4 linked regions of the Tamandua tetradactyla genome follow. Each later gene encodes a partner of the first gene's protein in a complex. Links are inferred from orthologs where the notes say so. Each region holds a gene or a part of one and is shown in the gene's direction. Other genes may lie near its edges.

Region 1 (7,325 bases):
TATATGGAATAATTTTCCTGGACTTACCAAAAGGAAACAGTTGGTATTGCACTTCTGTATGTAACATATTTTTCCTGCCCATTGTGCCTCCATCTCCTCTTTCTTTCTAATAGAACCTCCATTTCTCTATTTCCCATACCTCAGGAAAAGTGACCCTATGTCCTGATCAGAGGTAAATCCCAAATTATTTAAGCCAGCCATGGAAATCCCATTCCCTATAAGTGACTGGTTTACAGGTGGGCATGTGATATAAATCTGGCCACCTAGATGCATAGATCTCTTCTTCCTCTGGCCGTTGTTGAATCCAGAGGTAGATTGCTACAATGCTTTTGTAGTCATGAGGGAGCCAATCTCAGGACACAGCCAACATACTGAGAATGGCAGAAAAAACTTGTGGACCTTCATGTAACTGCTGAATTAACCAACCCTGAAGCTACCCTACGTCAAGACTGTGTTATTATGTGACAATAAGTTTTCCTGGCTGTTTTAGCCTTTTCTAGCTGGACTTTTAATTACTTGCAGCCAGAAGCAGACTAAACATTTTGCTGATCTTCCTTGACACTATTTTCAACTCTCTAACCTGCACCTCTTTCAGATCGAGCATCCCTTACTGTTCACAGATTCCTAAAATAGATCATCCTGTTGCCACTACCACACCTGACTTTATGTAACCCTAAATAAAAAGTGGTTTTGCCTTATGAGTTTTGATGCTTTGTTGCTTATTGCTTTAAGTTTCATGACTAATAAATCTTCATCATAGATTTTTACCCTTTATCATTGTGCTGGTTTGAATTTGTGGACCCCAGAAAAGGCATGTTCTTTAATCCTCATTCAGTATTGCTGGGTGGAAGTTTTAAAATTATCCATGGAGATATGACGCATCAAATTGTGAGTCACATCTAACTTTTGATTAGATGATTTCCTTGGAGATGTGTCTCCACCCATTCAAGGTGGGGTTGCTTATTGGAGCCGTTTAAGAGAGAACCATTTTGGAAAGAGCTACAGAGCCCTTGCAGTCAGGCCTTTGGAGATGAAGAAGGAAAACGCTCCCCCCGGGGAGCTTCATGAAACAAGAAGCTGGGAGAGAAAGCTAGCAGACGCTGCTAGGTTCGCCATGTGCCTTTCCAGTTGAGAAACCCTGAACGTCATTGGCGTTCTTGAACCAAGATATCTTTTACTGGATGCCCTAGATTGGACATTTCTATAGCCTTGCTTTAGTTGGGACATTTTTGTGGCCTTTGAACTGTGGACTTGCAATTTAATAAATTCCTACTTTTAAAAGCCGTTCTGTTTCTAGTATATGGCAGCAGCTAGCAAACTAGAACAATCATCATAAAGTGTCCTTCCCTTCTCTTTAAATGCTTTTGTAGTTGAATTCAACATTATTTGATACTGTCATTTTCACCCCTTCTTCATGTTTGTTCGCATTTACCTGTAATGTCTTTATCCACCCATTTTTCTTCTTTAAGATCAGAGATTATGATGTCGCCAAGAAAATAGGATTTAGTGTAAATGAACTCATACCAGAGTAGGGGTAACCTGCACTTACTAGTCCCCAGGTATGTCCCCCAGGTGTGTAGCTTTTGGTATTAGTCTCTGCACAAATTGGATTTGGCTGGATTGGGGTAAAGAGTAGAATTTCCTCTTACATGCCTTAATACTTAGGACCTACATCCACCATTCAAGGACTTGCAGTAGAAATCTAGTGATTTTTAAGACAATGTTTTTAAAAAACTATCAGACTTTCTTTATTCCTGAACCAAATCTTCATCATCAAGGCTATATACCTTCATCTATGGGGAAAAAAAACAGAGTTATTCCTAGATAGTTTTGAATAAGTTCATTCCCACCTTTTAAGGTTTTTAATTAAATATTTACATTACATTTTATATGTGTAAGGTATAAAGATGAATTTATATGGTTTGTGATTTTTTTTCTCATGTCTGGCCATTTGATTATTTTGATGTGCTAATTCAGCCAGTTTCTTCCTTTTGCCTAGGATTTGATTGTGCACTGACTGAGTGGTAAGGCTCTTTTCAAATGCTTGGTCCGGCTTATACTGAACATTTAAAGCAGCCTGTGTTTAACAGTTCAGATTTTCTTAGATCTTCTGCACCTGTCTTTCGCTCTGGGCATGTGCTGCAACTCTTACAATTGTCCAATTAAGTGTGACTGTTTCAGCTCTAGGAAAAGATTTATTTTTCTTTGTTCCTCCTTCAGGAGTCCTGAACTATTCTGTTTGTTCTTTTTGCAAATTTTCCTTCCCAGAAACTGTGATTTGATCAACTGCTTTTCCACTCCAGGACTGCCTTTGCATTACAGTTTTTGGTCCTCTCTCCTCTCTGCCTTAGAGCAGTTTAGTCTTTCCCTTTTTCCCATTCGGCTCTTCTGCCTCCAGTAACTTGCACATTAGAGTATCCCACCCAGGGAGCCAGATGGGGTTGGTGTTCAGAAATGCCCATTTTTCATTTAGGTGCACCAGCAATTAGAGACCAAGTTGGGAGTGTGCACCCTTTGCCAACCCTTCCATCGTGGGTCACTTTGTTTCCTGTTTCCTGGGGGCTGATTTTTCTGAGCACACTTGCTGACTACCGGATTCCCCACTTTGGTCCCTGTGTCTAAATGTGTACAGAGATCTAAGTTACTGCTGTGGGTGGCTCTATGGTCAATGACCATGGCAGGAGGTGCCCAGGCCAGAGTGCTTCCACTGAGTGACTCTTAAACCACATAAGACCCAGTGAGGTAGAAGATCCAGATAGGCAGGTCCGTGCCACAGATTTTCTCTTTTCCTTTTGGTGCTTTTTTTTTTTTCTTCGATTCAGCATTTGTAGAATCTTTTCCCAGATTTTCGTCTTCCAGAGTTCCAGGTGAGTGGTATGTGCCCTTTTATTAAATGTCTCTAAGAGGAAATTTCCTAGGGATAGCTTATGCTGCCATTATGATGATGTCACTTCATTAAGTTACCTGGCCCAGGAGTCAGAGAAACTGAAGGAGAAGCCATGGCAAGGTGCAGCAGTTGCAGGCCCAGCTGTTGCCTCATACCTATTAGGTGAGTCTACTGCTCAATGTCTGTGAGCTACAAGATGGTTGCAGCTTCCTTTCCGCCTCCAGATCTCCCTTATTTGGAGATTTGAACCTTATTAGGGTACAAATGTACAATTTTAAAGCCATGAAAATGTATCCACATTAAGGCATCAGGAGGAAGATACCTTCTCAGAGGAAAGGCTGCTGGCATTGGGGTTCCTCTGTCACATGGGAAGGCACATAGCAATGTCTGCTGTTCCTTCTCTCCAAAATTTCTCTGAACTTCTGTGGGCATTTCTCTCAGCTTTCTCCAAAATGTCTCTGCCTTTTATCCTCTCATAAAGGACTCCAGCAAGAGGATTAAGACCCACCTTGAATGGGCTAGGTCACATCTCTTCATTGAGGAGAGCAAACACATGATGAAAATAAAAGATGAGTAAATGCTAAATTTTGTTGTTCTCATTATAAGTGCATTAGAGTTTTGAAGAAGGGAGTGATCACCATGACCTAGAAGGAGTAAGAAAAAATGTAATGAAAGAAGCGAAAACTAAGGATGGATAGTTATGATGGGTCCAGAGTATTGATTGGTCTATGTTTTCCGGAACAACTCAGTTTGAAATATCTTGCAGTGTTGCACTAGAGTTAAAAAAATTTAGCAGTAGACTATTGTAATACTTAAGGATACAAATTAACCCAAAGATTCTGAATACAAAAGGATATCCAATTTAAGCAAAAATGGCCTTGCATGTTTTATTCATTCCTTCAACTCGTACTTACTGCGCAAGTGCGATGTGCCCGGCATCATAGTGGGTGTCCTGAGCTAGTGCAGTGTCCCTCCCTTCACTGAGCGTATTTCCTTCTCAGGAGACATTCACGATCAGAGTAACTGAATCACTTAACGATTGACAGCAGCTACTATTTATTGAACACCTATTATGAACCAGGTAGTGTGTTAAGCCCCCTTAATATGCCATCTCATTTAATCATCACAGTAACCTAATGAGGTGAGCACGGAGATTTCCAGTTCTGTCATCTCACCAGAGGTACCTAGGACAGAAGCTACGATATATATTGCTACATCTAAAATATTAACGGCCCCAACTCCTAAAATGTTAAAAAGCGGGTGGCGTGTTACTGGAAGAAGTCCCGCTAGGGCACCTCCGGCGAACTTAGCGGGTCTCCAAGGCGACGGGATGCAAGCGCAGCCAGATTGCAGCAAGCTCGCCCCCGGCCTTCTGGCGCCTTCGCCCACGCTCGCTTTCTGCGCAGGCGTACGCGTACTAACCCCGCCCCGCCCCGCCCCTTTCCTGCGCAGCGGTCGGAGCCATTCCGCCGCCGTTTCCATGCTAGCGTTCTCGCGGTTTTCTGCTTTCGTCGTAGAAGGCCGGAGCCACGGTCAGTCCTGAGAGGGCTGTGCTCTTGAGCACCCTAAAGCGGTATTCGGTAAGGAAAAGGAGCCCTTCCCTCATTGCGGGGCAACAGTGTCGCGGGGCGGCGGGGAGGGACCCGACGTCGGTGCAGCCTTGCTTTGTTACAAAGCGCGGGTGCCCATGGCGGGTGGGGGAAGGGGCGAGCCACCCCGCCAAGTTCCCGGATTGGGGGTTGCGTCTGCCGCTGGCCGCAGCGCGCTGGCCCTGTCCAGGGCCGCGGTTATGGCGCCTAGGCCTTCTCCCAGCAATTCCTACCCCTGTCTCCGAGGTACAACCCGCTTCTCCTTCGATCAGCTCACGTTGGGGGCGCTGTCGCCGCGGAGCGAAAGGGGAGTGAGTTGTCGGGTCGTTAGCCCGCGGCGACGCACTCTCCTAGGCCCTTCATTCATTCCCTCACGACACAAATATTCGGCGCCCTCCTGCAGAGAGTGGGTAGAGCATCACACAGGTTAGACACAGTCCCGCCGCTTCCCTCAGAGAGGTTTGTGAGGGGTAAGCGATTGAAAAATATTATGAGGAATTTAGAAGTGTAAAGGGAGAGAGTTATTTTAGGTCGGGCGGCAAGGGAAGGCGTCTAGGGGAGGGGGTAGACATTTAAGGTATTATCTGAAGGCGGAGATTGCGCCAGCTGTGAAGATGAGGAAAAGCAGAGCTGCAGAGGCAGGAGGGATTAGTTGACGCTTAAAGGCCAGAGACTAAAAAGGAACCTCAAGAAGGGGATGTGACTGGATTGTGGCAAGAAGGATTTAAAAGAATGAATTTTAGGTGGCAAGAGTGGAAGCAGTACTCCAGATGTGCAGTGCTGGTGGGAGAGATGGACATAAGCAGATATATTGCAGACATATTTGGGAAGCAGAATTGTAGTGGTAGAGGGAAGTAAATCTGGAGTCAGACCTCCTTGGTGGAATTCTGGCTCCTCCGATCACTAGCTCTGTCTTCTTCAACTGTGAGAAGGGGATAATAATGGTTATCTAAAGGCTCTAAAGAGTAAATAAAATAGCTCATGTAGATGATCCACTAAGGAAACTAGCCCATATTAAGGTGCTCTACAATGAATAGTTATGGCAGTTATTCAGGAGGTAGATGACTCCTAAATTAGGTTAGTTTGGTAGTTGGATAAACTTATGATCTTGGAGCTTGAAGGGAAAGGACTGTGCTTTCAATATATAGTTGATGCTGAATATTGTGGAATTAGATGAGACAACTTAAGGAGAAAGGAATTTGATAGTGTAGTTCGTATTTCATGTTACTCAGGGCTTGTTTTTTGAGTTAATTATTCAGGAATGGAATTTACAGGTAGACCTCTTCAGCTTTCCACAGCTTTTCTGTGATAGAGTGCTCCTTCACCAAAACAGCTGAGCAGGGTTAGCCCATGGCTGCACAGTGACCATAACAGGATTATACTAGTGTCCGGCTTAAATGCATTAAACGTAGATGCTAACAAAGTGCACTAAGAGTGATCCTAAACAGGTGTAACCTGAGAAAGGAGGTTTCTCTTGGCTTCAGACTAAATTCATAGCATATTTTCTCTGGTCTAAATTTGGTTTCAGGTAAATTGCTTATAATTACGACTCAGACGTTAGATTTGTAGGCTCCATTTATTTTGGTATCTATAAGCTGGAATAAAGGGGGGACGCTAACAAATAAATGTTGCACTTCAAGAAACTTGGTATCTTCAAGTTTTACAAGTAGCAAGGCCTAAAGGAGAGAACTGGTTCAACTCCCATACCTTCAGACAAGAGACTTTTTTTTTTTTCATAGAGCGATGAGACACCACCAGAGGATTTTTAGCAGTGTAGTGGTAATAGCAGACCTTCAAGCAAGTGGCAAGGATAAAACCAAGTCTTCTCCCTTGTAATGGTCGTTCTTCCTTACATTATTACTTCCATTGTGTTAAGAACAGGAAAAAAGATACCTGTAAAGTAGGAAATAGGACTCTCTCAATAGGCTTTTCTACTGTATTTAAATTTTTTTTTAATATTTAATTTGGTACAGGTGTCTTGGAAGAGAGGCGGTTTATACAGGAGCACTTGTAAAGTCATGTATTCTTTAGGGGAGAGGTCAAAGTGACAAGGCCATTTTAGGGCTAATTGGACATTTAGGGATACTTTAGAAACATGTAAATATTTGAGCTATATAGGTTCTTGTTTTCAGTTCAAGTACTGAATACTTACTGCATTTGGACTTGTTTTTGTTTGCTAAACTGCCAAAATGCAATATACTAGAAATGGACTGGCTTTTTTTTTTTTTACTTAATATGTACAATTTAAGTTTTACACACACTTTATGTTCAGCTTTTCTCCCTAGAAAGGCAGGGAAGGCATCAGGCAATCTCAGTATATGATCTCCAGTGCAATCAATAGTTTAAGCATAAAAACTAACACAGAATCTTTCTTTTTAAATTAGCCCAAGCTTTGCTGGCCCATCACAAGGATACATTCCAATAATTTTGGAAGACATAGAGGTCTTAGCAGCATTAATCAGGCAATCTCTTCCAAGTTTATCTGTATTAATAATTAGGTTTTCACTGATATACCGCACTGCTTCCCTGTTTGAAGTGTGGGGGAGAAAAACACTTATAAATTTACTATTCAAATTCTTCTGGTTTTATCGAGTTTAGTACATAGTACTAAAATGTCACAGGCACTGGTTTTCTGTTCAGCCATTTCATATAGAAGAAGGACACACAGAAAAATCCTCCCTCTTCAGATCATGGCAACTTTCATCTATCCCATAAGCATAGCCACTAAAATCTATTAAGAGAAAAAGTGGTAGTCGAATGGGAATGGACTGGCTTTTAACAGTATTTATTAGTTTATAAGTTTACAGGTCTGAGGCTTTGAAAATGTCCAAATCAGAGTATCAACAGGA
Region 2 (7,679 bases), on another chromosome or scaffold:
ATAATTTTATTTCAAAACTGATTCTTTTTATAGAAAATTAAAAATTAAAAATTCAATTTTAATATGTTTCTATCTTAACTGCTTTCTAATTTTTTTGCGTCTTCTTTCTTGTAAAACATGTTGGCTTCTAAAATAGAAAAGTCACTGAGAAATGCTAATTTAAATGCTATAAATATTTTGGGGATTTATTTGAAGGAACTATTAATTAAAAAAAGGAAAAGTTCTATTTCCCCAAATGCCTATTACAGCATTATTTACAAAAGTAAAAAATTGATGCAACCTAAATATCTAAAATAACAGTTAATAATTTACATAGATTGCATTTTTTGTGTATGTTCACTAAAAATCATATTTATGAACACTTTGAGGTAGTATGGAAAAATACTGGTGATACAAGAGTGAGAAATTAGGATATAAGAATAAAATTACATAGTGTAAATATTACAAAGGACAAATACTGCAAGGAAACATTAAAAATAAAATTAATTTGGTATGATACTTGTGGAATTGTTGATTTTTTTCACCTTCAATTTCCAATTTTTTAAAAAGTTGTTTTATTTCTTACATTTTTTTCTCTGCATGTATTTGTATCTTCACGTTGGATGGAAATGGATCAGAACCCCACCTTTATTTTTAGAGTCGAGTTTTAGTGTTTTTGAATTCAGAGGGAATTGAGTTCAATAACTAGACCAAAAATTTCTCCAGTGAAAACAAAGGAGGAAGAGTAGGAAAATAAGTAAAAGGAGAAAATGAAAAAAGGAAGAATAATTAACATTATTAAAGAAAGAAAAGCATAATTTATTTCACAGATATATTTCTAGGTCCTTAAAATTTAATTCTTCAGTGAACATTAACCTTTTCCAAAGAAGTGGCATGGGAAATTTTTTGAAAAGAAATACAATGTTTATCAGTTGTCTTTAAATATTAAAAAAATAAAGTAAAACAAAGAAAAGAAAGATGTTAAATTATGGCAACCTAAGACTGCTCATACCTATCCCTAACCTAGGAATCTGAGTCTTGAGAGAAATAACTCTTCTTTCAGGTTAATTTTAGTGCTCAGCTCACTCAGAGGTGAAGCACCAATCAGCGCCATTCAGAATTCCCCCGCCCCCCAGACGAAAATAGCTAGGTCACTGAGGCAAAACTGATTTGGGGGTTAAAAAGGTCTGTATCTCACCCCAGCTGTCTCCTTCTCTCCCTTGTGTTCTTGCAACCTCTGACTATACGTGCAGAAGCCATTTTTGAGTGTGTGTGTGAGGGGAGGATTAGAATTCAGTGAAACAGCTGATTTTGAAAAATAAGTAGTTTCAATTTTGCAATAGTTGGTAAGTTTTTAATTTAATAATTTAAAAAGACTTTTAAAGAGCAAACTTTTTCTCCTCGGCTGTCATTTTAAATATGTATTTTTAAAAAACTGACTAATTTCAGCTAACATTTAAACTTCTATTATTTTCAATCTAAAAGGGAACAAGATTCTATTATTATTATTATTATTATTTTATTATAACTCATTTCCCTTTGAAGCTAGGATAGTAGAAGGGGAACTGCATTTGTACAGGAGTTGAGAGGTCTGGGTGGAGATTTTCTAGGGTGTAACTTGCTTTTGTTTTAGGGATATGAGGATAGAGCAGTGAACATTCCCCCAGGTAGAATAGCTGAGAGGTGCATCTATTAATACTTAAAAGATTTAAATTGAATGAAAAAAACAGTACTTAAAAGTTTCTGGGTACTGGGATGCTTTGCCTAGTATCCTTTCCCTTGTTCCCCAATAAAACAGAAAAGATTTTAAAGAGACCTGGGTTCCTACTTAGGAAAAGGCCAAGGAATACAACAGCCTTTCTTGAGATCATCTTTTAGCCCTTTCAAAAATCCACACACACCACCAAGAAAATTCCCTGGGAACAGACCCATATATTCTGGCCAAGATCATTTGTAGTTTCTGGATTCAAAATCTCCTCTGGATTTTCCTTGCTCTGCAGTTGGTATTAGCTTGTTCCTTTAAAAAAATAATGTTTATTGAGTGCCTACTATGTGATAGGCATTGTTTCCAGCTCTTTGGTATAGTTTAAAATTATGTTTGCGGTCGAGACCTGACTAAATCTTAAGTCAAAGAAGATGTGGAGGGTCTGAGGAGGCGTGTGTGTGTGTGTGTGTGTGTGTGTGTGTGTGTGTGTGAGTGTGTGTGTGGAGGGGTCTTCCTACCCCCTTGAACAGAAAACATTAGCAACCAACTGTTTATGTTTTAAAAATTCCTATTGCCCCAAGGAAAGAAAAATAAAAATCCGACAAACACGTGGCTGGTTGGAACAAAACGCTGATTTGGGAGGGTGGTTCTTGAAGGTGGTGGAGACAGAGAAACGAGTTGTAAGCCCCATTCCCCCTTCATTTATTCTCAGCGCGCTGGAAAAATGGGGAGGGGGACGAAGGTGCTGCATGCTGCCTTCTCAGTCCGGACTTTTTGGACGGTATAAATATCACCGGCAGAAGAGCGGTGAGCCAAAGTCGGAGTCAGTCCACTGACTCTGAAAACTAGAAAAATAATAACAATAAAAAATTCAAGGCATTCATATCAATACAGGCAACACGTGTTGCAAAACCCGGCCCGGGCCGCAGGCGACTGAGACAATGGGGTCGGGGGCCGGGGAAGGGGCGGGTGACCCCCTTCTTCACCTGCCCTCGCTGCACATGTGCCCCAGACGGGGTTATTTCTCCCTCCAGAGGAACCCGGGGCCAAGACTCGAGTTTCCGCCCAGTTCCGAGAGACTCGGGCGTTACCGGTGGTCGACCCCCGCCCCCTCCCCAGTTCCCTGACTGAGAGGGTTCCAGGGTCCTCTGGCCGCGCTCTCCGCGCCCCCCCGGCGCCATCCCAGCCCCGCGCCGCTGGAAACTCGTTGGCCTCGCCTCTCCGCCCGGGATTCCGGGCTTGTGCGTGGACCCCGCGTCCCGCTCTCGGTCGCGTATCCGGGACTCCGAGACGCGCGGCGACCTGCCCCCTCCCCCACCGCCGGGACGGGGTGCGACCGCCCACGTGTCGCCCCTTGCCCAGTCGGGTCCGTCCCTCGGGCTCCTGGGGACGGAGGATCCGGAACGAGTTGGTCAAAGCCGAGGGAAGGGACCTGGGCGGATCCGCTTCCCCTCCCCAGGAACGGGCGGGGGAGGAGCCAGCGCCCCCTCCTCTCCGCCCTCGCCCCTCGCTTCCTCAAGCGCCGAGCGGAAATTGCCCCCTCCCCCCGCGGGTCTGACCTGGGGGCGTGGGAGGGGCTTCGCGCCCAGCCCCCAGCCCCGGGCCCCTCTCCCGCCTTCCCACTGGGATCCGAATCCTGCGCCCCAAACAAAGTTCCGAGACCCCAACCAAGCGCCTGGAGCGCTCCTGTAGGTGTCCGCCGTGGACCAGGCCGAGGACTCCACCTGTCTGCCCCGCAGGGAAACGGGGACCATTCCTATCTCCTCCCGGTCACTCCCTCGCTGAGACCTCCCCCTGCGGTTCTCCGGGTTTGCCCAAGATACCACCCCTCTTTCTTCTCTTCCACCCTTCCTCTCTCCAGGGGTCACTTTGGACCGGAACCGCGCGCCCCCACAGGAGCCCTGAAATGTTATCGCTCAACAGTCGGATCCCCTGTGCGAGCCACCCTTTCTCCCGTGGGAATCCCGAAACATGATTTCCTGCGGATCCCTCGATCCCAACTGCGATTCTCCGGGTTCCTAGCTTCCCGATCCCGCGCTCACAGGGGAAATCAGTTTCCGATCCCCGGAGGCGGGGGGAGTTGCATGGGGGTGGGGCGGGGAAGGCGGAGACCCCTCATTTAAAAATCTAGGCAAAAGGCGCCTTCTTAAATCCCCAGCTCTCACGACCCCCTCCTGAAGACCCCAGAGTCCTCGGTTTCTCTTTGTCTCTCACGGCCGTTCCCCTGCTGTCAGTCTCGAGCAGTTAATCGGGTTGGGGTGGGTAACACTCCCCCCCCCCCAACGAATAAAAAATAGCCCTACATTTTACCCAGAACTGCGGGCTAGATTCTGGGCCCGACCACCCTCCCCCAGTTCGGGCCAGGGGAGGGAGATGGGTGGGGGTGGGGCGCTTCCCTAGGGGCCAGGTTCTTATAAAGGGGGAGGGGGCAAATAGACCTCCGGGAATGCCGCCCCCACCGCCGCAGTTTCCCCTGGGGGTGAGTCGAATGCCCCCCAGGCGGGAGATTGGTAGACCAGGACTGGCTGGAGGGCCGAGGGGCCCTGAGGCGTCGGGGGTCTTCCCCTGCGGGGTGGGTGGGGGCCTTCACCACGTGGCTTCTCGTTTTTTTTTTTTCCGCTCCATTTTTTTCAAGTCGATTTTATTTAGAGGCGGCGCCAGGGCGGCCGCGGAGAAACGTGACACACCAGTCGGCTCGGAAGGGTATCGGACCCAAGGAAAGGAAGGGACCCGCCACCGCGTCCTCCGCGTCGGATCGCGCGGCGGACACTTCTCCCCGGCTCTCCCCGCACTCTCCCGCGCCCTTCCCCGCCCTCAGGCGCCCTCCCCGCCCTGGGTTCGCGACAACTTAAGGGTTGGGTGCAAAGAAAGTTTGCGTTCCGGCCGCGGCTCTCCGCATCTCTCGGCCTAGGAGGCTCGCCGTCCGCACTTGCTCGGTTCGGCCTTGCCGGAGACCGCGTCCTGCCGCGAGACCGCCACCATGAACAAGCTTTACATCGGCAACCTCAACGAGAGCGTGACCTCCGCCGACTTGGAGAAAGTGTTTGCGGAGCACAAGATCTCCTACAGCGGCCAATTCTTGGTCAAATCCGGCTACGCCTTCGTAGACTGCCCCGACGAGCACTGGGCGATGAAGGCCATCGAAACTTTCTCTGGTAAGAGCGCACCCACCTCCCCCCCACACCAAAAAAAACCACCACCGAGATCCCCAACAAGCGAGACCTGCACCTTCTCTTGCTTGACCGCCAACTCTACCCCCTGGCCCCGCCTGCGTGGCTCGGCCCCAGGACTCACCCTCAACCCACCCCTATTCTTCTGCAGAAATAATTCGGGATATTCTCACCCCTTCTTCCCACCCGAGACAAGAAATTGGGGGCTTTAGAAAGGTGATTTCTTTAAACCCTAAAGACGGGGCGGGAGCCCCCATTTGGCAGTAACGGGGGGCCTGGTTTTAGCGGCGCTGAGGCGACCCCTGCCTGGACGTTATTTCCAAGTCCCGCTCCTCCCTAGCCGCCACCCGACGGCCCCTCAGTTTGAGCACCCCCAGTCCCTGCACGCCGCCTTAGGCCTTTCCAAACAGGGAAGGGGTCCCCACACCGTCTCCGGTCCCTCGGGTTTCCGTGGGGCCCGCAGTCTTCGGGCAGGGCCTGGGAGGAAAGGGGTCCCGCCTACCGCCCAGGCCCTGGGACTTGAGCCATTTTGATTTGAAAGTGGGGCGTGAGCGGCGTGGCGCGGCGGCGGCGGCGCAGGGTCGCCATGCTGCTTCCCGAGACGCCGAGGCTGGGCCGAGAGGCGCGCGCGGAGGCCGCGAGGGACCTCGCGGGGCTCAGCGCTGCTTCCCCAGGTTCTCGCCGTCCTGACGGGCCCCGACAGGTGACCGCCCGGCGGCCCGAAGTCCTTCTTCCTGGCTCTTCAGAAAAATAAAGTTTCATTCTGCATCCGCGCCCCGCCCCCCTGCTCACACTCCGAGAAACCGGGAGATCTTTCCCTCTTGGCCACTTCTCCCCACATCTGGGGGTCGTGTTGGCAGCGCACCCGCAGAAATGCCCCCGCACCTTTCCCAAATGGCGCTCCCAGGGCAGTTCACAACACAGCTAGCCTCAGTGCGAAAACAAAACAAAAAATTAAGAAAATATTACGAATATATTTTCCATAGTGCCCAGAGCGACCCTTTCCCACCCAGGAGCGGGACCCACTTCTGAATTCCTAGGACGATCTCGAATCCCAGTAACTCTTCAATAACCCTAGCGTCTTTTACTTCCTCTTCCCACCCCCACCTCTGTTCAGTCTCTCATATTAATGTGAGTGTGTGTGTTTTTTTAATCTTTAGGGAAAGTAGAACTACAAGGAAAACGCCTAGAGATTGAGCACTCTGTCCCCAAAAAGCAAAGGTAGGGAAGAGCTCTTCTCTGGGGCCCGTCCTGGAGGCCGAGAGGCACCGATCAGGGGTCCATAGCGTCTCCAGTGGAAGAAGCCCATTACTGGCCTTCTCACTCCCAACTCCGGATGTTGGGGGCAGGGAAGGAAGGTTGGCCAAGATCTTGTTGAATGGGTGGTTTACAGCTTGTAAAAAAAAATAATAAGTTGGGACTATGGTGGGCTAAAAGATGTTGCTTGGAGGATTAAAAGGAAATAAAAAATAATAGGAAGGGGAAAAATCTCGTGGAGTTTGCTCAAGGTGTGGGGCCGGTTTTTGTGCGGAAGCTTATAATTTTTGAAGAGTTCTGACCCAAGGCAATTTCTGCAACTTCTTAGCAGGTTTTATTTCCGTTTTCCCATCCTTGAGCCCTTCCCTCACCATAATTTTTCAGTGGTTTGGAGGAGGGGGGGTCCCTTTATACTCCCTAGGGACAATAGAATGAGCTTCCTGCTCCCCAAAAGAATACCCTTATGCTTGTGCTTAATTTATATTTCTGCAACAGGGAAAGGCTTTTTTTTTCTTTTTTTTAAAATAGACCCTACTCTCCACATCCCACCCCCCCCACACCGCTTGCTGAATTTTTCAAAGAATATGATTTGGCTGTACTATCCTTTTCAAGCCCCCTCCCTCACTCCTTCGGTCCATTGTTACTAGGGACCATCTGGGTGAGAGCTTTGTGTTGAGGCTGTGAGCTGGGCTCTTTGGAGGGCCTAGAACTCCCTGGATAAATAGTGGGGGTGGGGGGTGGGGGTGGCAGTATGTTTTCCAATACCCTCTATCCTCTCTTGCAAAGGGGGTCCCTCCATTACACCCCCCCCATCCGGTTCATGTTGGCTTCCAAATCTTTCATTGAATCGTAGCTAGAAATATAAGGGCAGAGTCTTTCTGCTTTCTCAAATCAGCCTTTAAACATGTTGACAGTACAGTTTTCCTTATGTTACTAGTTGGGAGCAGCCCCCAGTAAATCTTGGATTCTCTCCCTCTCATTTCAAGTGAAACTTGCTACATTTCAGAATAGTTCCTAGACTTTCTTGGATGGGAAGTGGATGGCTTCTTTTTTTACTGGGGGAGAGGGTTAAGAAGAGCTAGAAAGTTTAACTTGGGCCAAAAATCTTTTCAATTATTTAGTTTGAGGTATTTAAGTAACTTGGAATTATTGTATCTATAGATGATCAATATGGCATGTTACTATGTTTATAGAGCTTGTGATTTAACCTTAAGTGGTTGAAATACTTTGTTATTGGAAAGGCAATTAGAATTGGAGTAAAGAGGCAATAAAATTGGAAGGAAGAAGTCTTATTTATTATTTTGAAATATTTCCTGGAGATGGGCATAGAAGAAACACACACCAACACTAATAGATTTATGGAAGATTGTGGATATTTGAATTTAAGACTCATTTGCATTTAAAACACATTTAAAATGTGTTGATAAGAAATATGCAGAATAACTGGAATTCTGACATGTGGAAATTTTTTCTTTTGCTCTTGAGGATGAATTAAATTTTAAAGGGAATAAAGTGAAAAGTAAGAGAAATATCAAAATGTGATGAAATGGAATTCAAAACATTTATAT
Region 3 (7,777 bases), on another chromosome or scaffold:
TGGAATGATAAAAAAATTACGAATGTTCGCGTTTGTTTGGTGTTTTTTTGGTATTTAAAAAAAATTAATAAAAAAGAAAAAGTGTGGAGCAAAGTGAACGTAGGAAAATGAAGAAAAGGTTATTTAGAAACAGAGTATACAGAGTTCCTTGGCAGTTACGACAGAACAGGGGACACCTTTAGTTTGATTTTGACTTTTTTTCTCTAAACACTTGACAGCTTTTAGTGAAGGACTTGCTTAATTATTAGCTGGCAGAAGTCTAAAAATGATAAGCAGCTCTGTATATAAAGTAATGAATATGATATAAGAAAATCTTAGCTAATTACGGTTTCCTTGCAAATGTCATGCAACTGGCTTCTTGTCTATATTTGTTGGGGAGAGAGTTTGCATGTGTGAATGTTTGTGTGTGGGCAAGCATGTGTACAAGCCTATGCTATGGGAATCCTACAGACAGCAGCTAAGCAGTTGGTCAAGATGGCTGGCTCCCCTTGTAGTTGTCCTAGTGTCTCATAGCATCCTTTGCAATTGCTTATACCTTGACTTCTCTCTCCAAACACTAAGCTCCTGCCTGGTACTGTGTCATTTGTATCTGTATTCCTTGTATATGGTACAATACTTGGTACATAGTAGGTGCTCAGTATATATTTGTTGGATGCATTGGGACTATGTGTGCGTATATGTTTGTAAATATATTATGTAAATGTATCTACATATACACTTTACTGCCATTCCTGGATCAGCTTTCCATTTAGTATAGCTGTTGGGCCACATCTAGATGAGGGTTTTGTGTTAGTTTCCCACCTGGTATGACGAATACCACACACTTCGTTGGATTAAACAGCAGGAATTTATTGCTTTGGAATAGTTTTGGAGGTTGAAAGTTTGTTTCTGCCTGGGGCCAGTGGTGCTGAAGGGTTGGCAATCCTTGGGGTTCCCTGGTGTTACCATATAGTGCTGTCCTCTTCTTTCTCTTCCAGGTTTCCACTAACTTCTAGCCTGACTCCTCCCCATGGCTTTTTCTTAGAGTCAGCAAATAGGGAACTTATAGAAAGTTCTATTAAGTCTTTTAGTCTGTTCTGCATGGTTTATAGAGGAGGAAACTGATGTCCAGAAAGATCACACAGCTGATTATAATGACAGTGCTGGGGCTAGAAGTAAAATCTGCACATTCTTGCTTCCACTATTTCACTTTGTTGCCAAATTGAAATCTCACCATGAACAAATCACTCACAATTTACAAAATATGTAAAGTCACAATTTCCTAAATAATATTTAACAATCAAATCACGGATTTTCTTAAGTTTATTAACTTGCCAGGCATATCTAATGAAGACTATGTGCCACGCACTGTACTCAAGGTTTTATATTCATTACCTCCTTGAATCTTCTCAACAACCCTATGAGGCAGCTTGTCCAAGATCACACAGCTATTATGTGGTTTAGCTGGTATGGAAACCAGGTCTGTCTGATTTTAAAGCTTGCACTTTTAACTGCTATTTGGTACATCCCCCTTCCAATTGGGTTTTCTTGTTGGTCTATTTGAAAAATTGTCTTAATTTATAATAACCCAAAGCTACTTGTAATTTCTTATATCTTTTGTAAAACACATTAAAAAATGTATCTAAGCATATTTCTTGCTTCTTTCATTATGCTAAATTGTAGTATACAAAAAATACAGAATTAAATGGAAGTGTCATGATAAATGAAGTGCAGGCTGATTCATTAAATTTAGTATTCCTATCAGTTCATGTCATTTCTTTGCTAACAATCCTTCAGTGTCTTCCGTCTCACTGAAGGCAAAAGTCGAAGTCCTTACAAAACAACCTAGAAAACTACTGGCAATCTGAATCTTTTCTACTATCTTTCCTTTCTGATCTCACTTCCTATCACACCCCTCAGGCTTCCACAAGGTTACCCTATATGTTAGGTTTCCCTGATTACCACATTTATAAATGCACCCCACCTCAGCATGCCCTGCCCTTCTCCTGCTTGGTTTTTCCCCTGTAGTACCTGTCATCTCTACTTTATTTACTGACTAACTTTCCCTGAGAGTGAAGGCATATTTATATAGATCACTGATCTGTCAGCAGACCAGCGCCTGTCTTAGCTCAAAAATATTTGCTGAGTGAATTGTGTGACAAAACAACAGCATTGCTTCAACCTTAAAATGTAAATTATCTATCTGGGGTACCTAACTTTGTAATTATCTCTGCTACATCAATTATCCAGGGGTAATTAACTAATCAATCACTTGTTTGCCATTGAGAATTAATTTGTCCCCCTTCAACTGTGCCTTCTTGGTAGTCGGCAGGATTTTAAAAGGGGGTAATTTCAAGTTCCTTATAGGTCCCTCAGAAATATAAAGTAACCTCACTTTTAGTCAACTTTGTAGAATAGGACTGTCATGATGGTATAAAAAATAAAGCAGAATGAGGGTGCACAGCTGGTTCAGTGGTAGAATGCTTGTCTTGCACGCAGGAGACCCAGGTTCAATTCCCAGACCATGCACCCTGCCCCTCCCCCCAAAAAAGAGTAAAGTAAAAAACGACTAGTAAAATCAAGTCATGATTTGTACTTTCAGTGGTAAAATATGTCTATGGTACATTTCTTCCTTTTAAAAAAAAGAACCAGTAAGATGATGGTTCTCTGAGCATTTAGAAAAACTGGTTTCTTTTGAACGCTGTCTAAGGGAGCCTACTGTAATGTACGAAAGAGGATCGGCATGGGGGTGAGATCTCCACTTCCTTGACTGTGGAATGAACAGACTGAAGACGATCAACAGGCCCCATCTGGCTCTAAAAGTCACAAAGCTCTTGGAAACAAGGCCATGGATGGAACTTTCTAATGTGCATCTAAAGATAGAGTTCATGTTCATTCTTTTTATTTTTTGAATTATTATTTTTGGCTTTTTTCCCTAAGACTTTTTATTGATCATCACAATCGACTTTTTTCTTTTTCTGTAAAAAATAATATATATACAAAAAACAATACATTTCAAAGCACATCGCAACATATTTCATGTTTGTTCTTACAACTGATTTAATGTACCCCAAACAACTGTTGTAAATCTATCTATTTTGATAATATATCTAGTTTTGGGGCTTATTTTTTTCAGCTAAATTGAAATTGTTTTCATATCACTAATACCTAAAAATGTAACTATTACCTAAGGATCTAAGGATAGTTACACATTTAAAAGACTTAGTTGTATTCAACCCTGATTCTCTAACGGACTAATTATCTAATTTGTGAATGTGTAAGCTTCCTGTAGCTCTTTCAATTTTTGATCAAGGGCAAAGAAAGCGTTCAAATTCCAGTTTTGTCACTTGTTTATAAATTTCAAGGATATATAACCAAAGGCTAAAACCTGTTTGGTTCTGTTTTGGATATTATTCCGATCAATTCAAGTCAACTTGAACCAAGAATTATCAGCATTGTACATAGTTCGCTAATTTCAACTTAAATCATTACATAAATGTTGGTATTTTATCTTTACACATGCCTGCATGGCAAGGTACATGCTTCCTAAAAACTATCAAAAAGGAACTTTAAAAATAAAATGTATTAATCATCAAATCAGACTAGTCTATGAGAGAAAGTTAACCACAGATTTCTACACTTCCAAATTTCAAATTAATATTGGGGCATTATTGTACCAAACAGATCTCCTGGGTAAACTGATCTCCTTAGAGAGTACAGTGGCTGGTCACTGTACAGACTCTCCCGGGTTATCACAAATCTATTTCCTTGTAACCCCTACCTAAAACTTCGAGACCATACCAGTCCTTTCATTTACTAAAGAGAAAACATAAACTTCTAAAAATACAACAAAAATTACCGATTTCCTTTCCAGCGTGACTATTTTTTTTTTTTTTTACAAAATCATATTTTTCACCAGTTTCTATAGTTTCAGCATGATTTGATTAAGAAGTTTCATAGGAGTAGGAACAGAATCAAAGTGCATGACTGCTCTCCCCCTCATTGTTAGCTGCTGGGACTGCAGACCGCTCCTAAATTTGACAGAATAAACATTATAGAAGAGCCGTCTTTTTGGTAGGTAAAGAAAACTCACAAATGCAATTCTGAGATCTATCTATTTGGCTACTAAAACATGAGAACAGTTGCCATGAAGGCCTGTAAAGTTTATTTGGCAGCGTGGAATACAGGATCCCAAGCCCTGCAACAGAGGTTGTGGAAAAGACAAAAGAAAGGGCTTCTGCCCTCACCCTTCCGGCACTTAAAATCCAACTCCCCAGGCAGGACTCGGTAAAATTAAACAAAAAAATTAAGCGGAAAAATACACCTCACGCACATAATCAAAGCTAATTTGTGAGGTACAAATCAAACTTGAAATAAAATGTGGAGGAGTTTTAATTTGATAGAGGACAAATATCTAAGAATGCAAATCTAAGATGGAAGAAAAGGTGGAGAGTTCGAGTGAAATTAAAGACATATGGATAAAAGCAGCGTCCAGATCGGACTGACAGAGCAAAAGTAGTACTAAGGCACTGGAAGGGCCGGTAGGCTTCGGCTTAACCGAGAGACGGTCGACCTTCCTCCATTTGCTCGGTCCGTGAGGAACGGCGCCGCGCGGCCTGCGCCGCTCTCCGAGTCTGGGACGCGGCGTGGGGGCGGGGAAGTAAGTACGGTAAAGAGGATGAAGGGGAGCGCGCGCGCGCCGCGACTTTGCTGCTGCGCAGCACTACCGTAAGGCTGGGGGGCGGGGCGACTATATTACGTGCGCGGCGCCGCCCTGCGAGAGGACGTTGCGTGCTCGCTCGCGCCAGGCGAGTCTCCGCGTCTCCCTCGCGAACTCGGTGAAAGGAATTGGCGCCGTTCGACACCAGGCGGGTCCGCTCTGCAGCACGAACCCACCTCCAGCCGCAGCCGCAGCCGCCGCCCGGGCCGAGGAGCAGCCGCACTAGCCGCCACCAGTGGCCGTGTGAGCGGAGCCGAGTTTGAACCAGCGCCTAGCGGTGAATCGGGGCCCTCACGATGAGTTCCTCGCCTGTTAATGTAAAAAAGCTGAAGGTGTCGGAGCTGAAAGAGGAGCTCAAGAAGCGGCGCCTTTCTGACAAGGGCCTCAAGGCCGATCTCATGGAGCGACTCCAGGCCGCGCTGGACGACGAGGAGGCCGGAGGCCGCCCCGCCATGGAGCCCGGGAACGGCAGCCTAGACCTGGGCGGGGATTCCGCCGGGCGCTCGGGAGCAGGCCTCGAGCAGGAGGCCGCGACCGCCGGCGATGAAGAGGAGGAGGAAGAAGAGGAGGAGGAAGGGATCGCGGCCCTGGATGGCGACCAGATGGAGCTAGGGGAGGAGAACGGGGCCGCGGGGGCGGCCGACTCGGGCCCGATGGAGGAGGAGGAGGCTGCCTCGGAAGACGAGAACGGCGACGATCAGGGCTTCCAGGAAGGAGAAGATGAGCTCGGAGACGAGGAGGAAGGCGCGGGAGACGAGAACGGGCACGGGGAGCAGCAGCCTCAACCGCCCGCGACGCCGCAGCAACAGCCCCAACAGCAGCGCGGGGCCGCCAAGGAGGCCGCGGGGAAGAGCAGCGGCCCCACCTCGCTGTTCGCGGTGACGGTGGCGCCGCCCGGGGCCAGGCAGGGCCAACAGCAGGCGGGAGGTAAGAAGAAGGCGGAAGGCGGCGGAGGCGGCGGTCGCCCCGGGGCTCCGGCGGCGGGTGAGTGCTGCGTTGTACGTTGCGCGCGGCGGGAGGCCCGCGCGGGGTGGGACCGTGCCCCAGGCCTGCCGGAGCCCCGCCGCGGGGAGGGAACCCTGGGCTGGGGCCGCCGCGGGGGTTGGGCGAGGGGGGCGGGTGCGGAGCCTTTTCCGTGTGCCTATCCAGGTGGGGAAGGGGGGTTGCGGGTAATTCTGGGTTCGTAATGAGGCCTCGGGGTCGGTGTGTGTGACGGCGGCGGTGGCGCCTCCATTATGTGACTCAAGAGCCAGGGGGAGCTGCAGCTGCCGCTGGAGGGGGAGGAGCCACGGCGGGCGGCGGGAGGAAGCCCTGTGGGCCAGCGGGGGCCCCGCCGCGCTGCGTGTGCGCGGTGCGGGCACATGCCTGGGGGGGGAGGGGAGAGGCTCGAGGTCCCGGGGCGGGGGGTGCCTCAGCGGCTCTTGGGCGCTGTATTGTGCAAGGAGCGCAGGGTCGAGGCGTGACGTCACTTCCGTCGTGAGGCGCCGGGCGGGGAGCCTGGGCGGAAGATCAGTACAATGCGGCGGCGGGGCGCGCGGGCTGGTGGGGGAGGGGCGGGCTGGGCCGCGCGGCGGAGGCTCGCCCCTCCCCCCTTCCTGAACACTGTCGGTGCACGTGGGTCCAGGATTTGCGCCCGACTATTTTTCTTTCGTTTTCTCGGATCATCGCGTACACGGCAAAATTAGTTACGTCTTTGGACTGCGTCACTAACTGGTTGAATTCTGTGCTTTGATTTCGCGTTTGATTCGTCGATTGAAAGCTCTTTACGGAATAAAGGATGAAGACAAGGTCTTGCGCCTCAAACTAGGAAAGGATTTTTTTGGTCACTCTTTGGCGGCTTGGCTTCTTATAAGGCTGTTGTGTATTGTAGGAGACGGCAAAACAGAGCAGAAAGGCGGAGACAAAAAGAGAGGTGTTAAAAGACCTCGAGAAGATCATGGCCGCGGATATTTTGAGTACATTGAAGAAAACAAGTATAGCAGGTAGAGGATGGTAACCTAGTTTTTTTTAATCATCTATTCTTTGTTGGTTGACGGGAAAAGCCATATCAGGAGACAATTCTTTCTTTCAGAGCCAAATCTCCTCAGCCGCCTGTCGAAGAAGAAGATGAACACTTCGATGACACAGTGGTTTGTCTTGATACTTGTAAGTGAAGCCATTTCTTCCCTTCCTCCAGCTCCAAATGCTGTGGTTTGGTTCTACAGTGTTACAGACGTAATGCTGTACGTCCAACCTAAGTTCAGAAAACAGTAAAAGTAGGAGATTATGGTGTGTATTCATTCTTATAGCTTAATATTTAAGTACAGCATCAGTTGTATTGGTAATTTCACATGCTCTAGCGATTTTATAATTTATATGACTTGAAAGCTCTTATGCTTAGGAATGTAAAATTAATGGCAATTTTTTACTAATTACCTAATGGAAATTTGTGAAGTACCCATAACTTATACTAAGGCTTCTACAGTAAAGTAATTACGCTTTTTTTGTAGAATTATAATGTGAGCTATTTGGGCTAGTTAAATATTTGCTAATGACCTTTCCCATTAGCACACAAGTTTATTCCCTATTCTAACGAAAGATTGTAATACTATTTTTTCAATAACTGCTGTTTTGTTCTCAATTCCAGTTCAGTAGCTGCTGCTTTAACATAAGTTGATTTCTTCCAAAGACCTGGGGCAGCAGCAGTGGGCTTTCACTGGGCCACTAGCTTTCTTCAGCAGCGAATGGTATCAATGGCAGCACTGTAAATTCTGCTACTTTACCCAGTTGGGTTGCAATTGAGTATGAGGAAGTATTGCAAACCTATAAATGAGCCATGGCTGTCAGATTTATAATTTTACTATAAGTAATTACGTTGGTTTGGTATTTGATAAAAATGAAGTTATTCATTGTAATAAGTAGAGCAGAGGGTAGAAATGATTGAAGTACAAGTAGATAGGTGTCACATCGCCCAGTAGATTTAAGCAGTGGAAGCTTAAATTTCCATGAATTAGAAGTTGTATTTATTCAGATTTGTAACAGTGTAAACATTAAATTTTTTATTTCTTACCGTATACCATTTATAGGTAGTTGAGATAG
Region 4 (7,847 bases), on another chromosome or scaffold:
CATCAGAGTCTGATGGAAAGGACACAGGCTTTGGAGCCAAGTAAACCAGGAAGCTTTTTACAACTTTCTAGCTTTGTGACCTTAGTCTAATCATTAAACCATTTGGACCCGTAGTTTGCTCATATGGCTAAGTGACATGAGATGATAGGCTTGGCCATAAGTGTCAGTTCCTTTCTTCCTTCGATCTTTCTTGATTCCTTGTGTTAATATACCTGTCGATTTTGCTCTGGGAAACCGAAGGTCTGGTTTATGTCAAGAATCAGACTGGTTCTGCTCTCTTAGGAAAAGAGAATTAGAAGTGTAGATGATAGCTGGGGGCATTATCTCTCTCAAGGAATGTCCCCTTCCATTTCCTCTGAGCTGCTTACTGACTTTACTGACCTCCACGTCTCTGCCATTGTAGACCTCCCTTGAGTAAGAGCATCTGGATTGACCCCTGAGTTTGCTTTCCTGCCTGCTGCTCCTCCATTTGCTCAAGAGACCTTGGAAGTATCACTGATTCAGGACCCAGGATTTTCTTTGTTTAAGTTTTCAACTGTAAATAAAATTTTGTGTTTTTTATTTTTGCTATGTATGTTGTTGTTAAATGGTTGTATTAGCAGCCTCTATCTCCTCACTTCTCAGCTTCAGCTGGGAGGACTGTCTCTGCCCAGAGGCCAGCATGGACCAGAGCCATGCCCTTGCTATGTATAGTTGATGCCTTAGAATTGCAAGCTGTTGTAGTAGTCCCCTCGTAGCTGATGTGACAAAGAAATCAAAGCCTAGGGACTTAAAGCAATATTTATTCCAAGGGTGTTCCTAGTAGGTTTAATGCGGTTAATTCTGGGGACCATGGGAAAAGAGTCACTAACTTGGGATGTTTTTTAATGAGACCATTTAGTAGAATGTGTCTTGGTCATGAAGTGGTGGTAATAATATAGTCAAAAATCTCAATTTGAATCCAGGGTCATTTAAACTATTGGTGTTCTTGAGAAATTTTCTTCCCCTTTCTGAGCTCAGTTTCCTCATCTGTAAAATGGGGATAATACCTAGATTTGCCTCATAGTTTTCTGAAAGGGTCAAATAAAAGAGAATAGATATGAAGGAATCGTTAGAAACAGTAACATGTCTTTGAAAATACCTCACCATAAAAAGATTCCACTGAGTATGTTTAAGAGGAAAAGAAAAAAGTTCTCTGGTGTTCCTTTCATGAAGTATTTTACAAGTTCTCCCATTCCTGACTTTACCTACTTTATTCCCATCTCATGGACAGGATGCTATCTATGCCTACTGGCAGCAGGTTACTGCAGCAGAGGTAGCAGAGAGCCAAATTCTATGATAGAATCTGGTTAAACATGCTGTTTCAGTATACTGGGAGACAAGGGGGGATGTGAGATATACAAGACCCTACAATGTAGATATTCAGAACTCTCTGTAGCCAAGTAAGCAGGGACCAGAGCAATCAGTAGGGAAGGAAGGGACTGTGAACTGGAGGAAGACAGATCTTCAGTTAACTAGGCAGAGAGGTGGGAAGGAGGATGAGCAGATATGTTCCTGAGCTGATATTCTTATGGGCTAACTATTTAGTTGAGTTCAGTCATACCTGGCACCTCCATTTTATGCCAGTCCCTGTCCTGGGCACTGGAGTTGCAACAATGAGTAAGATGTAGCCCATGCGTGTGACAGGAGACAGATACAGTTTCAGTTCAAGGTGGAATTAGAATGTGAGCCCTTACGAAGGCAGGAAATTGTTTACTGCTGTGTGTCCCCTCCCCCACTGCCCCCAGCACCTGGAGGAGGTGTCTAGTGTCTCATGGGTGCTCAGTTAAGTATTTGTTGCATGAATAAATGATGATGTTGGTATGTACAAGATGCTATGGGAGTAGAGTGGAGAGACTGCAGGTAAGAGGAAGATGTCAAAGAAGGCTTCTTGAAAGACTGACGTTTGAGGTAATTATTAATGAATTGGTTAGAAATAGCCAGGAGATGAAGGTGGAGAGGGCTTTCCTGGAAGAGGGAACTGTGTTCTTAGACAAGAGTCTGTTAGAGATGGGGAAGAAGGTGAAAGTTATTTTGCAAAGTAAATTCTTGAACACTCTTGCCCTTCATATCACTAAAAGCTAGGCAGTGAGGTTATCTGTGCTGTGGTCACCATAGGCCACTGAGCAATATGAGTGAGCCCTCAGAATGGCAGGAGGATCAGCAGAACTTTGGAGTGGGAGCTCTCACTTTGGAAGGAAAGATGTATTTCCACATATTATGTTATCTTATGGTGCTCCAGTAGTGCTAATATAGAGGTGACTACAAGGAAACTAGCTTTTCTGTCTTAAGAAGTTCATCTACACATTGGAGGAGCATAAAGAGAAAGCCCCTTGAAAAAGTAAAAAGTAATTGGATAAGTAGTGATACTTTAAAGTAACATTTTAAAGACATGTTTCAAAATTTGTATTCTGCTTGAGAAGCCATCCCTTCAAAGCAATTGCAAAGGCTGCTCACTTCAACAGTCAAAAGTCACCTAGAATTGGAATAGCAGCTTTGGAATCCACCTGCTTCTCTCCGTCCACACTGTGGCTCCAAGCCTTCTTTTTCATGTGTATTACTAATACGGCTACCCAGGAGACCTTTTTATTTCCAGTGCTGCCTCCTCCAAACCATTTTCCACACCATGTCATTCGTTTAACATATCAAGCTATTATATATGAAGCACATTGCTAGGTGGTCAAGGAAGACTTAAGAGCAATACAGTATCAGGAAGGGGTTAGTACAGGATGCTATCAATATAATCACACGGGGGAAACACCTGAGTGACATCTAGTACTCTATAAGTAAGCAGCCAGGACCTAAAAGTTGAAGAGTTAACCAAGCAAAATGAAGGGGAAAATGAATAATGTTATAGTCTGAGGGGGTAGCCCAAAGGAAGCAATGACTAAAAGATCACCTGGAAGATTGGGCAAGAATTGAAAGAGTGGAAAGGTAAGAGTTTAATTTGGTTCAGAGTCCTATAAACCACATTATGGTATTTGGACTATACCAAGGGTAATGGAAGTTACTCGAAGACATTAAGACTGTCAAGGTCAGATTGGTTTTTTCAAAAGAGCATTCTGGTGGTTGAGGTGGAGACTGTAAGAAGAAAGCAGTGTGTGTGTTGGGGGGTGGCAGCAACCAGTTAGGAGGCTAATGCTCTAAACCAGAGGTCAGCAAACTGACTAGCAAGCCAGATCACACTTGTTTTTCTATGGCTCATGAACTAAGAATGGTTTTTAAAAATTTCAAATAGTTGGAAAAAAGTCAATCTTTTATGTAAAAATTATATAATTCATATTTCAATGTCCATAAAATAACATTTTATTGAAACACAGCTGCACTTGTTTATGTATTGTCCATGGCTGCTTTTAAGCTATAATGGTAGAGTAGTTGAGATAGAACTGAATGGCCCACAAAGCTTAAAATGTTTACTATATGGTCCTCATTTTTAAAGTTTGCCTAATCCGACTGTAAATAACAGTTGATGATGGCCTAAACTAGAGTAGTGGCAGTAGGAATAAGAGACCGGACTGACTTAGAGATTTTTAGGACTGGTTCAGGGAGGCCTTAGGGGATGGAATTGACAGGCTGAGATATTACTGATGGGACAAGGAGTAACCTTTCCCATCACAACTCACAACTTTCTCTGCTTCCATTCTCTTGCCCATCCGCAACTCATTTTCCACTCAGCAGCCATTTTAAAAAGGCCATGCCCAGTCTCTAGCTTCCAACTCTTAAGTTACTCTTCTCACTACTGCCCTTGGGGGAAAACTAAAAATATTCCTAATTTGATCCTGCCTACCTCTTACAACCCCATGTCTTCATTCTAGCTTTATTCAACTACGTTACTCGCAGTTCCCCTGAGACAACCATCTGGTCTTGTTTGGGGTGGGGGTGGGGGTGGGGGGCTTCGCATAAACCGCCCTGCGCCTGCAAAGTCAGTGTTTCACCCTGCGTTCCTCCTCTCCCAAGATGCTTTGTGCTTTAACAACCGTGGCGTGAAACGGGATGTTCAAATTTCTGCCCAAATCTCCAGACTGAATTCCAGAAGGCAGAAACTGACTCGCTCTTATTCCATCTCCAGCATATAGTAGACGCTTAATAAAGAACGAATGGAGCCGGAGGACTTACGCAACATCAGGTCTCCGCCTCAATTTTATCGTTTGTGAAACGTGGACAGTAATCCCTACTTCACATGGCTGCTGTAAGGACAAAACGCAAGAAAAAATGCCTAGTTTGCTCAAAATACGAGTTGAAATCAGTCTGAAAAAAGATGTGAATTCTCAGGAAAGCACATTCCTTATATGCCAGATAAAATAGATCGGAACGCGGTCTCCAGGGAGCACACAGCAGCCCCCACCACCTCCCTAAATATGCTGAGCAGGGGGGGCTTGAGAGCCCGCGCGGTCCCCTGAGGGTGACTGCGCCGCCCAAAGCGGACTCTTCTCGAATGCATACGTTTAAGTCTGATACTGGAGAAACCCTCCGCTGTTCCCCGTGTATGCGGCCATTATGGAAAGCCCGCTGTATCCCCGCGGTAACACTGAGTTCACAGGACCATATATGGAGCAGGGAAGGAGGGAGGCTGGCAGTCCCTCCACAAGGGGCTAAGGTGTCACTGGGCCCCCTTCCACGCCGCAGGTCAAGCAGGGTAATTCCGGACCAGGCGTTTGGCCGCGCCTTTCCCTCTGGGCTGGCACAACCCAGGACGTAGAGGCCCGTGCGGACTACACCCTCGTGAAAGTCACGTTCTCTCTGCCCACCCTCTCTGGTTCTCTATGGTTCTCGTGGTGACTCTACCCTAATTCTAGTTCCGGTCTCTATGGCGGCGGCGGAGGCAAGAACGGTTGTAGGTCTGTCGAATTAGCCGCCTAAGAGCCAATGAGAGTAGAGGAGTGATAAAGTATTAGTCAATAGGGGCCAGAAGTTGAGGTCAGGTGGTGGGATTGACAGCACTGCTGGCCAGTGAACATCTTTAGGGCGGGCCGATCACAGGGCTTATCCCGCCTGTCCCGCCATTCTCGCTAGTTCGATCGGTAGCGGGAGCGGAGAGCGGACCCCAGAGAGCCCTGAGCAGCCCCACCGCCGCCGCCGGCCTAGTTACCATCACACCCCGGGAGGAGCCGCAGCTGCCGCAGCCGGCCCTAGTCACCATCACCGCAATCATGAGCAGCGAGGCCGAGACCCAGCAGCCGCCTGCCGCCCCCCCCGCCGCCCCCGCCCTCAGCGCTGCCGACACCAAGCCCGGCACCACGGGCAGCGGCGCAGGGAGCGGCGTCCCGGGCGGCCTCACATCGGCGGCGCCTGCCGGCGGGGACAAGAAGGTCATCGGTGAGGGCCGAATGGAGACGGGGGTGGGGCAGAAGGGGAGCCTGGCCGCGGAACCGTTACCCGAAGCGAGGCGAGGAGGCGAGCGCGCGGCGGGCAGGGACCGACTCCGCCGCGCGCGGCTGCCCCTCCCCCACGCCCCCCCACGCGCGCACTCCCCGGCGCCGGCCCGCGTGCCCGGCAGGCGCGCGCGCGCCACCGACCGCGTGTGCGGCGGGGTCCGGTCCTCGCCCGCCGTTGTTCCTGTCTCCCCCACCCAGCTCCCTTCCGCGTGTACCCTGAGGGCGCGGCGTGCCGCCTACGCAGGCCGGAGTGGGCCGGGGCGGTTTCCCCTTCCCTCACGTGCTCTCTCGCTGTCTTCTCGCACACCCATCTTGGACCCGCGCCCCAGGCCTGCCCGTGGGGCGTACCGGGCCATCCAATTAACCCACGTGTTCCGTTAAAGCGTCCTGGTGGCGGTAGCAAGGTCCTGGAAACGGGCTTTGAAGGGAAAGGCTGTCAGGTGGCCGCGGCCCGGGCGGCTGGGAAGCGTGTGAGGGACCGGATGCTGAAGTGTGGCTTTTTTAAAAAGAATACCTGGTAATTGTGGGGTTTTTTTTTTGTCTGTTTTTTCCAGCAACGAAGGTTTTGGGAACAGTAAAATGGTTCAATGTAAGAAACGGATATGGTTTCATCAACAGGTGAGATGACCGTCACTGAAGCTTCCATCCTCTTGCATGTTTTCTACTCCGGCTGTAGGTTTTGCGTGGCTTTATTGTTTTAAGGATATGGAGATACACGCGTGTTCAGGGTGTGTGATACCTCTAGTGTATTAGTGTGATGTTCGTTTTCCTTGATGACTGCAAGGAATAGTGATCTAGAGATTTTCTTTGTTTTGCAGTTGTATCTTAACTTCTGAGGCTTCATTGGGGCACAAAGCACTTTTAAAAGGCAAGCAGAGTGTTTGAGCCATACCGTAGCAGGTTAGGACAAACTGAAGAAACTATGGTCCAGTACGAATTTTTCAGTTATATTCGGGTCCACAACGTTTTTGTTCTTCTCATCTTTTTTGTATATTTTATTGAATTTTTATTGAAATGGTTTTGAGAAGGAGCCCCGTTAGGTTATTTATAACATGTTAACCTCTTGTGGTAAGATGTTTTGACACGTTAAGTGTATGCGATTTTATCATCCTTATTGTAAGATTATACTGCCTTTGTTCCAGTAGATGCTGTCTTTTAAATACCTCGCATGAAATCTTTTATTAGAGCTGTTTTAACAAAAGGGTGTGTTGCTTTATTTATTTTTATTTGTTCATAGGGTTAAGTAACACTTGTGGAAGAAAATAGTCCGTACCCGTCCATAATTTTTGTTTCTCCTACTTACCTGTCCCAAAGTCGAGCCATAATATTAAATCAAATTATTTTAAAGTCTTGGCTATATGTTATTAGACGGCTTTAGTCCGGATGCCAAAGTGTGTGGCTCTTCGTATTTCTTCATATCTGAAGGTGTGGTTACAAAACACCTTCAGCATTTATCCTTAAAATTGCCTGTAGTAATAGTGATGGGGAACGTGCAGTTGATTCACAGCACTCTGCATGGATCTCCCTTGTGAGCCGGGCATCATTTTCAAGATGGCTGCCAAGGCGAGTAGTGCAGATACATGGGTGTAGAGCAGTGTACATTAACGGGGATCTCGGGCTTACAGGTAGGATATGTAACACCATGTCAGCATTTTTTTTTTCTTCTTTTAGAAAGCTTTAAACAGGTAGATGTTAAAAGCATGTTTGAGAGTAAGAAGTAAAAGTAGAATGTTTGAAATGTACAGTGTACTGCAGGAAACCAAATGGGCAAGATCAAGTTTAAAGACTGACATAATTGATGAATGAAAAAGCATTCATCAGTCAACCATAAAATATTGAGGAAACACTGGAAGTAAAAGAGATAAGCATTTGATGGTCTGTCTTCCAATTTGCATTTTAGGGAAAACATTTTGATTCTTCAATATCTTAAGGAATTTTTCACCTTTTATACTGTAGCAGGCCAAAGCTACATATTCTCATCAGTTTTGTATGTTTTGATGATGGATTGCTAGGGAAGAAGGAAGAGAATCCATTTACATCATTGATTGACTACTTTTTAGTTGATTGATCTCTCAATTATTAGTGTTTCAGTTAGTATTTCATATTACTCTGATTCTCCTTTCTGGTCTAAGCTCTAAACCAGTGGTTTTAAATTAAGTGTGCTTACCTTGGAAGAGAATACCCTAATTTCTCCTTCAGAGCACCTGATTTAATGAGAGTTCCAGGTGATAGTCTGTGGGCCACACCTTGAGACACATTGCTTTTAATCCTTGATAATGTCATTATTTCTTGTGCACATTAGAAGAGGCTGTTAATTTGCATGTGCCTTTTGGGTTTTTTTGCATTTTTTTCAAATGGCACAGGTTATGATATTTTCAAAGTAAATAATTTATATGCAAGATGTAAAAGTAGTTCTTTACATATTATAAATAGTTATGCCATGAGATACTATTC

Evidence for each region.
Region 2: DHX9 (region 1) and IGF2BP1 share a complex: the UniProt entries of both Homo sapiens proteins name them as parts of the coding region determinant (CRD)-mediated complex. The link is inferred for Tamandua tetradactyla from reciprocal best matches to the Homo sapiens genes DHX9 and IGF2BP1.
Region 3: DHX9 (region 1) and HNRNPU share a complex: the UniProt entries of both Homo sapiens proteins name them as parts of the coding region determinant (CRD)-mediated complex. The link is inferred for Tamandua tetradactyla from reciprocal best matches to the Homo sapiens genes DHX9 and HNRNPU.
Region 4: DHX9 (region 1) and YBX1 share a complex: the UniProt entries of both Homo sapiens proteins name them as parts of the coding region determinant (CRD)-mediated complex. The link is inferred for Tamandua tetradactyla from reciprocal best matches to the Homo sapiens genes DHX9 and YBX1.

What each region holds. Positions count from the first base shown.
Region 1 is NC_135330.1:37,702,462-37,709,786, forward strand, and holds the start of DHX9 (ATP-dependent RNA helicase A), read left to right. Parts: upstream 1-4,321; 5' UTR 4,322-4,467; intron 4,468-7,102; exon of another isoform or gene 7,103-7,241; intron 7,242-7,325. UniProt on the Homo sapiens protein: Multifunctional ATP-dependent nucleic acid helicase that unwinds DNA and RNA in a 3' to 5' direction and that plays important roles in many processes, such as DNA replication, transcriptional activation, post-transcriptional RNA regulation, mRNA translation and RNA-mediated gene silencing.
Region 2 is NC_135332.1:30,231,025-30,238,703, forward strand, and holds the start of IGF2BP1 (insulin-like growth factor 2 mRNA-binding protein 1), read left to right. Parts: upstream 1-4,664; coding exon 4,665-4,839; intron 4,840-6,014; coding exon 6,015-6,075; intron 6,076-7,679. UniProt on the Homo sapiens protein: RNA-binding factor that recruits target transcripts to cytoplasmic protein-RNA complexes (mRNPs). This transcript 'caging' into mRNPs allows mRNA transport and transient storage.
Region 3 is NC_135333.1:16,458,674-16,466,450, reverse strand, and holds the start of HNRNPU (heterogeneous nuclear ribonucleoprotein U), read left to right. Parts: upstream 1-4,767; 5' UTR 4,768-4,995; coding exon 4,996-5,683; intron 5,684-6,569; coding exon 6,570-6,681; intron 6,682-6,770; coding exon 6,771-6,844; intron 6,845-7,777. UniProt on the Homo sapiens protein: DNA- and RNA-binding protein involved in several cellular processes such as nuclear chromatin organization, telomere-length regulation, transcription, mRNA alternative splicing and stability, Xist-mediated transcriptional silencing and mitotic cell progression.
Region 4 is NC_135328.1:182,059,492-182,067,338, reverse strand, and holds the start of YBX1 (Y-box-binding protein 1), read left to right. Parts: upstream 1-4,843; 5' UTR 4,844-5,168; coding exon 5,169-5,334; intron 5,335-5,394; exon of another isoform or gene 5,395-5,446; intron 5,447-5,947; coding exon 5,948-6,011; intron 6,012-7,847. UniProt on the Homo sapiens protein: DNA- and RNA-binding protein involved in various processes, such as translational repression, RNA stabilization, mRNA splicing, DNA repair and transcription regulation.